Linked DNA regions of Mus musculus. The protein of the gene in region 1 purifies or fractionates together with the protein of each later gene. This does not show direct contact. Links are inferred from orthologs where the notes say so. Each region holds a gene or a part of one and is shown in the gene's direction. Other genes may lie near its edges.

Region 1 (5,016 bases):
AAAAATTGTCACCGCTTATAAATGAAGCTTGCAGATACTGTGACCTTAAGGAATTCCATGGTTGCACCAGAAATTCTGCTCAGCTCTTTTCAAAGCAGAGTCCGTGTGCTAGTGCTAAGCCAAGTTCACGTTCAAAACTTAGTAGCATTCGTCAGAAATCAAGAATTTTTCATCTTGATGTACCTCAGATTCATGTTAATCTTGATAAAAGGGCAGTGCTTGCTGAGAAGATAGTTGCTGAAGCTATTGAGAAAGCAGAGAGAGAGTTGAGCAACACGAGTTTGGCAGCTGATAGTGGAATCGGACAAGATGGCATTAGCTTTGCTGAGAGCCTTACTACAGAAATCATGACAACAGCTGTGACAAATGCTGGGCATGCTGTTAGCAGGTACGTTTCAAATTTTTTGTCAAGTCTTGTAATAGAATGAAGAGTTAACTTTGCCCTGTATGTTTTAGGTTCTGTTCATAAAAACTCTACTTATTTTCATCCTAACTTAACAGAGGTCTTCTCTGTTGCATTTGTATGTAGCTTCATGTCCTGTGCTTGGTTTTCATATGAAATTTTTGTTTCCCGGTTCCTTTTGTGAGTAATTATTCATTTACAGGGCTGGAAGATGAGAGAAAACACAATAACATCAACTAAGAAGCAGGTAATCAGAATAAAGGAAATGGGTGAATTTTATTCAAGAGTTTAGACTGGTATATTTACTACTCTGAGATTAATATCTGTTTCTATGGTCGAGACAGTTTTCTACACATGGCTTGGACAGTTTTTATTCTTCCTCTTCTATCATAGCAGCTTCAGAAGAGGAAACTAGATGGTGATTCCTAAGCCCTCACTCCCAGGACTCGGCCAATAACTCTGCTATTCATTCTTCAGATTATTCATCTTCTTCTTAGACCTGGCCAGTAATGTACCCCGCAGTCTTCCTTAAGCTTGTTTTAATCCAGACTGGAATTTGTAGGCTCTCTCTTTGTACTTCTGTTCCCAGGCTTCTGTGAGAACTGCAGAGTCCACTCAGTTGTATATAATTCTGCCTCACATTTTATAAAGTTAAAATGATTTACAATTGAAGAATGATTGATTCAAATAGATTATTCACTAAGATGTTAACTAAATTGTTTCACTAATGTTTCTTTTCTCATAACTGTTTGATTAATGGTAGAATATATAATAGGACGTTACAAACCCATAACGATCAGCTGGGAGCCATATGAATTTCAAATAGGAAAGCATATGACAGTGGAATTTTAGAATAATAATAGATCTAGACTTTATTTTCAATTAGCATGAGTCCAGTTACCTAGCAGTCATTACAAACCCTCTTTTACCCTCCTCCTGTGAATCATTTTCTTAAAAATGTGGTAGGTAACAGGAAAAAGTGTTAAATAAAATAAAGTTGTGGTGGAAGATACCTGTGTTTGGAATGCCAAGCCTAACTGAGTTGTCAGATCTTTTTAAATGCAAAGTGAGAGGTGCTTTAAAAATGGGAAGGGCAGTTCAAGGCTTAATTTAGGTGTTAGGGATATAAAAGAAATTGAAACAGGCAAAAAAACCAAACAAAAAAACAAACAAACAAAAAAACAACCCCAAACCAAACCAAACCAAAAACCACATTGTTCTGCAAGAGCTGGGGGTCCTGTGTTCTGGGCACTGCTGTAGAGTGACTCAACTTGGAGGATGGCAGTGAGGGACCAGCTTATACATATATGATGTTTGGAAGTCAATGGAAAGTTTTGATCAGAAAACTGATACCTTTTCTCTTCCTGCTTAAGCATCACTCTTTAGAACTGTGTTGACGATATACAGATGGAGCAATTAGTTTAGTTTCTCTAAGACAGGGTCTTACTATGTAGCCTTGGCTAGCTTAGAATTATGTAGATCAGACTGGTTTTGAATCACAGAGATACCTCCCAAATGCTGGAACATCAGTTTCTGCTAAGAAATATGTTTATGATTCATATTATGAAGAGATTTCTTTAGTTTGAATATAGGCTTGGTTGACACAGCTAGAATTTCAAACTGCATTTCTAATACTAAAAGCCAGAAGGAGGCTCTTTTAGATTCAAATGAAGGTAGTATTTTTATAGGTCAGATGATTTGCTTAGAACTTCTAGTGAGGCGTACTTCTGCTCAGTGTCCTGTTGAACGTGGAAAGTGCTTTCAACTGAATGTAGATGCACAAGGGTATTGTCTAGGTAGCAGATGCGGTCCTTGCTGTGCTGATGTTCAGTCTTCATTATGTGCAGATGCAGCGACATGTTCAGGGGTGTTAGTGTCACCGGGGATATAATTCCTTAGTGTCAGCTTTATCATCTTCTTTCTTTGTCACAATTTGTGATGCTTCAATTGTTTTTTAAATTATTACCATGTGATCGTTTCCTAGTTCAAGAGAAATAGAAGATTTTCAGTCAACTGAGTCACTTGGCAGCCAGCAGATGAATCTCAGTGTTGGTGAAGACAGCACAGGTAGCTGGTCCAACTTAAGTTTTGAGGATGACCATCAAGATGAAAGCAGCAGTTTCCATCATCTCAGTGAAAGGTAACTCTGACTGTATAGTTAAGTGTGTGAGAAAGGTCTCTAGACTTAAGAAAAGTGAGCAGTGGGTTTGTGTTATTTAAAAATTCTCAATTTGGAAATCTGTCTATACATCCAACATTTTATTATTCACAATGTGGCTCTTTTGTAGTTTTTACTTTAATTGTTCTTAAGGGTATGGCTTTCTTCTGGTGTGGCCCAGTCTGGTCTTGAAGTTAAGTTTTTCTCTTAACTTTCCAGGGTCTGGATTATAGGCTTGTGGATTATATTGCCATCCCTGGCTTCTCAATGGCTTTGACACATATTAAATGCAGTGAGGGAACAGAGCAAATATCTTCGGATATACTGACAGCTGACCTGAAAAAAAGTATTGCAATATTGAATTTTATTTCCATGTTAAGTTTTCATCTATGTTGTGGGAGTATAATTTATCACTTTAAAGAGCATACCTTCATTAGAAAGCTATTCATGAGGACAGTTAGGTGTCTGTAAATGGCATTACTATAACCCTGCAGTTTCCTGATACAAGCTATAATAAATAGTGTTTCTAGGGACAGGACTTCTGCTAGGAACAAAATATTTTATGTCGCTTCTTGGATTGAAAATGCAAACATTGCATAGTCTTAGATTTTTTAAAACCTACTTTAATAAGGGTTACTAAATACTTTAACCTCCCTTCTAGCCCACCACTCACCTGAGGTAGTGGAAATGAAAGGTTAATAGGGCACAGGGGAATGTGGACCTATTTAGAAATAGTTCTTTGGGGTAATTCCAGTCTTCATTGTCAGGACATCAGTGGTTGAATTGATGTGAGTCAGCAATAGTACTCCATCCACTCACAAACATCATTCACTAACCAGCAACGGCAGTTCAGTCCAAAGTGGTAAGCCACCCAGAATATCACCACAAGTTCTTCGATGCATTTCTCTCTATGAGGTCATGACAAATGATGATCAGCTAAGGAGGCAAGACAAACAAGTGCCACAGTGCTGTCAGCCAAGACCAGCATCTGCAAAGCCCAACAAAGCCCAGCAAAGAGTGGCAAGGTAAACCAATGCCACAGTGTAGTCCACTGTCTGCTGGGTTATACTTATACCCTTTCCAAACATCACATGTTCTCTTTCCAGGCAGCTTCCAGAAAAACACCATGTGTCTGTTCTCAGCAAAACATCCTCTCATAACACAGTTTTCAGAAAAACGTCACATGACACAACTGAGTCTCCAAAGAAACCAGAAATTTCACTTTACATGAATCTGTAAAAAAAAGTTTTATATACTTGAAGACATTTACTTTACATGCAAATTTTCTAGTTAACTTTGTTCACAATAGCCTCCTTTGAAATATTTCATTATGATATAGATTCTTATATTCTCACCTCTACCTAAAGGCATTCATGGGTTGCTTATGAACTCCCGTGAAGTATTTGTCCATATTAACTGACAATTGAAATAGAAGTAACAGCAATAGTTAGACCTCAGGGAGGGAGAAGTTCTCAGCATACCTCTACCAGGAGGTATATGTGGAAAGAACCGTGTGCAGTCCCTGCTGACATCGACCCTGGAAATGTTCTTGCTGGGAGAGGGAAGGAAGACAGTGTGACGTTGGAGGAGAGGCTGGGGTGGCATAAGGAGAGGAGGTGTGGCCTCTGGCCTAGGAGAGCGAGGCGTCCTAGCCTAAGGCTGGGAGGGTTTCTTTTCTACTTGGTTACACATTTTCTTTTCTTTTTTTTCCTTTTCTTCCTTCCTTCTTTCTTTCTTTCTTTCTTTCTTACTTTCTCTCTCTCTCTCTCTCTCTCTCTTTCTTTCTTTCTTTCTTTCTTTCTTTCTTTCTTATACTGTGTTTGTTATGTTATGGGAAAAATCAGTATTTTTTTACAATTTGGATGCCAAAAAATAGTCTTTAAAATGGAAACAGTAGAGCAAGGTCAAAAATCATGATTTTCCCTGGAACACTGTAATAACACTTAAGTTTTTTTTTCTTCTTTAAGGAAAACAAGCTTCCAAGACTTCAGCAAGAGTGACATTAAACTGGGAGAAGCCAGTGGTCTTAAGAGGGTTTGTAGAAAGCTCAGTAACTAGAGAGGGTTAACTGAGTTGTTGCAAGGGGCAAGTCTTTCCTGGGCTCTAGTCTTCATTCTGCCTGCAGTGTTTAGTTTATTAATATGGATAACTTAGAAACCAGGCTGAAGTGACAGCCTCGTAACAGTAACAAAACCAAATCAGGCTGAGGCCAGAGTAATTATATAGAATCTGAGCAAATGCATTCAGGCTCAGAAATTATGTGAACCCAGGTAGGGAGAACGTCTGACTTGAGAGTGTTTAGTCAGAAGATGTGTGTTTCATACAAGTACTGTTAGTATGCACTACTAACTAGTCATGTTGCAGTGGTTTTGAGATTTAGACAGGAGACAGCTCTTGGGACTTAAACTCTGGGTTGATAGTGTGCCTGTTGAATACAGGTTTCCAGAGCCTAACC
Region 2 (5,116 bases), on another chromosome or scaffold:
GCCCGAGTCACTTCTACAGCTCTAAAACAAGGGGAGCTCCTGGCATTGTGGCTAATGAAAGCGAGCCATCTAGCACACCCTGTATAAGAAATCTATGATGTTAAAAAAAAAAAAAAAAAACAAAAAAAAAAAACAAAAAAAAAAAAACCATGTTGGAGAACGATACTTAAAAATGTGGTTCCTTGCTTCCTCTGTTTTTGAGAAAGGTGTTGAACATCCACAGACTAATAATTGTCCCTATACTTGGTTTTCCTCCACCTCTAAGCATTTGCTTGTACATAACTGCTCAAAATAAAGAATATTTTCCCCAAATTTCTCCATTGTAGCATTTAATTGCTATTGCTGTGCAACAAACTACCAAAATTTCAAGGCTAACACATACCTCCTCCTGTTTTTAAGGGTTCACCAACTCCATGGATCAGAACTTTGGTCAGGCACCTACCAGAGGGCTAGAGTGACTTCTAAATGCACCACTGGCCAAAGCAGTCACAATCCCCCTTGCGTTGCACTCCGGGCTTAGGAATGGTAAAGTTGTTCTGTGGAAGAGCACATGGGCTGGGAGGTACCATTACTCACTTTCAGAAAATAAAATGTATGTGGTCAGAAGTTGTAGCCAAAAGAAAAGATGAGTGTTTGCTGCCGGAAGGAGGCTCCTTTCTCTTCCCCACTTTCCTGTTAGCTGACTTAGAGGAAATGACTGGAGGTGGAGGAGCCACAAAGCCAGAATTACACAGCAATGAGCTTGAATGAGCGAGGATTCTTGATCGACATTGAGGACCGCAACGATAAAATCCCATCTTAACTAGTATTCTTTGCATTTTCTGCTGAGCAGTAGGGAGAAACATGATAGAAATACATCTTAGATTATTGGATCTGCAAAACATTTCGGTAGAGAACTTGACTAATACTGTGTTCCATATGGCCTCATGTGAAGACCACATTTTTCTGAGTTTATTTCTTATACACCACACAATTACAATTTAGAAGTATGTTATTTTAAAAAAAACACACACCAGTATTATTATTATGAGGTTAAGAAACTGAACTTGAGAAATGAATTCCCTTATGAAAAAAAAAGATAAATAAACATTGTAAACAAATGGGTAAGAAGCAATTTTTAAAAAATAAAACGAAATGATATTTTTGATTTCTAGGTTTTGGGTTTCGTGAGTCACATATTTTCCTTATGTGTGGGCAGAAAGGTAAGTGAGAACAACTAAGGAAATAAAATAAAACTCAATAAATAAATAAAACTTAAGAATAAAATAAAACTCAAGTGAGTTTGCACTTGGACTGCTTTACAATGAAATGGGCATCGTAGAAAATAAAGTATGCATATTTATACAGCGTTTAATTTGGCAAAAGATAAATTTTTCTGTTTCAAAATTCTCAGAATAGGCTCGTTTTAAAGACAAGGGTTTTCTTTAAAAAGCACAAATGTGTAGTTCTCTTTTCCTTTTTATTGCTATATTCAAATTTTGGAGATTTAATTGAAGTGACGCAAAGTGTCAGGAAAGGTTTTAAAAATAAGCAACAAGAGGCTAATCAGGTAACACACCCTTAGTTGTCTGTCCAGCTGCCCTGACTACCCTGTATCCTGTCTTGAAGGATCAACTAACTTTGTTAAGTGCTACACAATAAATGCGGCCTTTGTCTCAGTAACCAGTAGGAAATGTACTAAGCAGAGTGTGGCAGAGCATCTGTAAGGCAAACCATCACAGCCACGAGGCTAAAAGGCGGAATTAAAGAAAATTTTGTGACAGACAAGTGGCAGCATCTCTTTTATCCAGAAGAGAACCAGTAGGGCTGTGCGACTAACAAAAGACACCACGCACGTTTCTCTTGGGGTTGGATTCTAGGAAAAGGAAAAGCCACCAAGGTGGAGGCTGAAGTTTCAGCAGGAATTGCGCCGCACCAACTCTGCGTGGGACAGGGAGAAAGGTGCGTGGGATTCGCTCAGGGAGCTCAGGTGGAGCGCGCGGCCTCAGCCCCACGCCCCAGGCTCAGGCTGCCTCCACCCTGGGGCCACTTGAGAGGCGGCAGTGCTCCCGCCCGCCGGGTTGCCATGGTTTCCGGGGATCACGTGGGCGCGCGGGCGGAGGCGGGGCGCCGGGCGGGGGGCGGCGCAGCGGCGGCGGGAGCAGGAGCGGGAGGAGCTGGAGATGCTGCCAACCCTCCCCGGGCTGTGCTCGCTCTGCTGCTGCCGCCGCACGGAGCAGCCTCGCCGGGGGCCCAGTGCGCCGCGCTCGCAGCCGGTAGCGCCCGGGGCGCTCGCTCGGGAGCCGCGCAGCCCGAGACCGGACCGCGGATAGGGGGCGAGGGCGGCGTCCAGGCGCCTCGGCGTGCACGGGCAGGATGAGCATCGAGATCCCCGCGGGGCTCACGGAGCTGCTGCAGGGCTTCACGGTGGAGGTGCTGAGGCACCAGCCCGCCGACCTGCTGGAGTTCGCGCTGCAGCACTTCACGCGGCTGCAGCAGGAGAACGAGCGCAAGGGCGCCGCGCGCTTCGGCCATGAGGGCAGGACCTGGGGGGACGCGGGCGCAGCCGCCGGGGGCGGCATCCCCAGTAAGGGTGTCAACTTCGCCGAGGAGCCCATGCGCTCCGACTCCGAGAACGGCGAGGAGGAGGAGGCCGCGGAAGCAGGGGCGTTCAACGGTGAGGACCGGCCCCCTCGCGCCCTGAGCCCCGGCCGCCGCGTCCGCCTCACTCTCGAACCCCGCCTCGCTCTTGAACCCCGGGCTGAGCTCCCCACCTTCCCCGTGCTCTCCACCTTCCCATTACGCCCACCCCCTCAGCACCCATTTCGGTCGCTCCCACTCGCCCACCTTCCTACTCAGCTCTCTTGTCATGCCCTCCCTTTCTCTGGAGGTGGGGAAAGGAGAGGTTGCGCTCCCGCTGCCCCTCTGTCACCTCTCTTTCCGGGGCGATTTAGGGTGGGCATCTTGCTGGATCGTTAACTTTCCCGTGGTTGGAGATGTCTCAGGCTCCGGGAGTACCATTGTGCATGAAGGGCGCTTGGCGGCCTCTTTTCAGCCCTTTAGATTTATTAATGGAGTGTTCTGGGAGAAAGGGCGAAGCATGTAGGACTCAGTGAGAAGAGTGTGAAATCGGACTCGCTGAGGTAAAACAAATTAACGATAATAGCTGTGACATTCTTGGAATACGAATAATTTATTTTCCAGTTTTTCCAATACCATGTGGTGGCGATATTTTTGGACATATAACAAAGGAGCATATTTAGCCTGATACCTAGGGGGTCTTTGGCATGAGGAAATAGGCCAATGATTTTCTTTCTTTAAAAAAAAAGATACAAAACATATATTGAATGATTTTGATGTTCTTTTTAAAGTGTGTGGAAAAAAAAATAACACCATGGGAAGTTCTAAGAGCTTTGTCAGTTGTCTTAATGAAAAGCCAGCCAGCATCTAAGGACCACGCCAGACACTGAAGCTAGAGAGAATGAATGGGAGAGAAAGGGATTGTTTTAAATAGCTGCTTTTGGCGAGTCCCACCCCTTATGCTTCCCACCTCTCCCTGACACACCAGACACACATGCGTGTTTACACAATATGACCAAACCCCAGGTTTTGCAGGAGCCCGGGCTGAAATGCCGTGGTGTGCAAATGGACAAGTATTTTCCTTGGTGGTGTGAGGCGAGCATGCATGCAGCTTTTATTTGTTGATGCTGCTGGTGTGGGATTTGTGTGTCCACAATGCCTTTCACACAGTGAAAACACTAAAGGGCCATTCACTTCATTTCCCTTACGCCCTCCTCCCAGGAAGATTTTCATTCCTTTGTAGAATTAATTATATGTTGAATGGGTTATAAAATTAATGCATTCTTAGCTTGTTTAAAACACACAAACCCTGGATGTTAGTGCTCTGTGAATGTGAAAGATTGCTATTTAGATTTTTAATTTGGGACATTTGGGTGCTTTGAGAATAGGGTAATCATAGTTTTAATTGTTCCCACACCAAATCAGATGCTTGTCTCACTAGGAAGGGGAACTAGACAGCATCTTACACAGATGGTATAGAAAGGACAGTGACGTCTAATACTTGTATGCACACACATTTGTGCACATGCTATGTGTCTGTGGCATGGGGATGCAAGCGCAGGCAAGCAATGCACAATGGAAAAGGGGACTAGTGTCCTGAATGGGAGGCACCAAGGAGAAGGGAGGCTTGGGAGAGCCTCTGTGCTCTTTGGAATACAGTATTAATACAGTCAAACCTAATTATATCTAATTCTCTTGAAGCACTTTGCTTTGGTTTAATTTCTCCTTGCAAGAATGTGTATCTTGCACATTGGAAGAAAGAAGTGCTTTTGTAATTTTTATGAAGCTTTCTATTCCCCAAGTCATCTTTTCTATAAAAATCACTCAAGGTCAGTTGTAATAAATGCTTAACCAGTTGCCTTTTAACATCTCTACCTCCAGGGGTTTTAAAACTTCTTGACTATAACACAATTTGATCTTTATCCAGCAGATGTGTACGGGCATGTGCATAGCCGAAACTTTGGCATTGGTATAACCTCAATTGGGGCAATTCTCTTTTATATTTTTCTAACCCAACACTTTAATTATGTTAGATGTAAAGTGTGTTGAGAATCGGTTTAAAAAAGAACTGTGAGCTACAAAACGCTTGTCAAACTGTTTTTGTGGATGGCCTTTCAGACTTTGTGGGCATCCTATCATCTGGGTCTTCTTCTTTTTAAACAGCCCTTTAAACAAGTACACTCTATGGAGCTTGAATTTGTACAAGGCCATGATGTATCCAAACCTGATCATAGGGAATAAATATATATGTGTGTGGGGGGGTGTGCATGTGTGTGTGTGTGTATATGCACACACAGACACATCAAGATAGAGTCATCATTTATGGAAAGTTTGTGGAATTGACTGAAAACCCACAAACCTATTAAGGTTCTGTCTGTATGCAGGAGAATGCTGAAGAAAACCCAGCAGGCACTGGGCAGTTCTCTTGGCACAGTAGAGAAAGAGTAAGTGTTGGATGACAACAGTCCCTGTGGTACAGCACAGCATTGCAGGATCAATGACTTTACATTTCACATGAAGCTTGAAGCTTGATTCAGAAATATCATGATCTAGTACC

The links. The genes of interacting proteins can lie anywhere in the genome.
Region 2: the proteins of Akap11 (region 1) and Prkar2b purify together in Homo sapiens (affinity purification with mass spectrometry; 3 studies listed by BioGRID and IntAct, counting the BioPlex papers as one, with this or other methods). This does not show direct contact. The link is inferred for Mus musculus from reciprocal best matches to the Homo sapiens genes AKAP11 and PRKAR2B.

Annotation. Positions count from the first base shown.
Region 1 is NC_000080.6:78,505,252-78,510,267, reverse strand, and holds part of Akap11 (A-kinase anchor protein 11), read left to right. Parts: coding exon 1-388; intron 389-2,387; coding exon 2,388-2,543; intron 2,544-5,016. UniProt on the Homo sapiens protein: Binds to type II regulatory subunits of protein kinase A and anchors/targets them.
Region 2 is NC_000078.6:32,058,322-32,063,437, reverse strand, and holds the start of Prkar2b (cAMP-dependent protein kinase type II-beta regulatory subunit), read left to right. Parts: upstream 1-2,160; 5' UTR 2,161-2,355; coding exon 2,356-2,656; intron 2,657-2,848; exon of another isoform or gene 2,849-3,122; intron 3,123-5,116. UniProt on the Homo sapiens protein: Regulatory subunit of the cAMP-dependent protein kinases involved in cAMP signaling in cells. Type II regulatory chains mediate membrane association by binding to anchoring proteins, including the MAP2 kinase.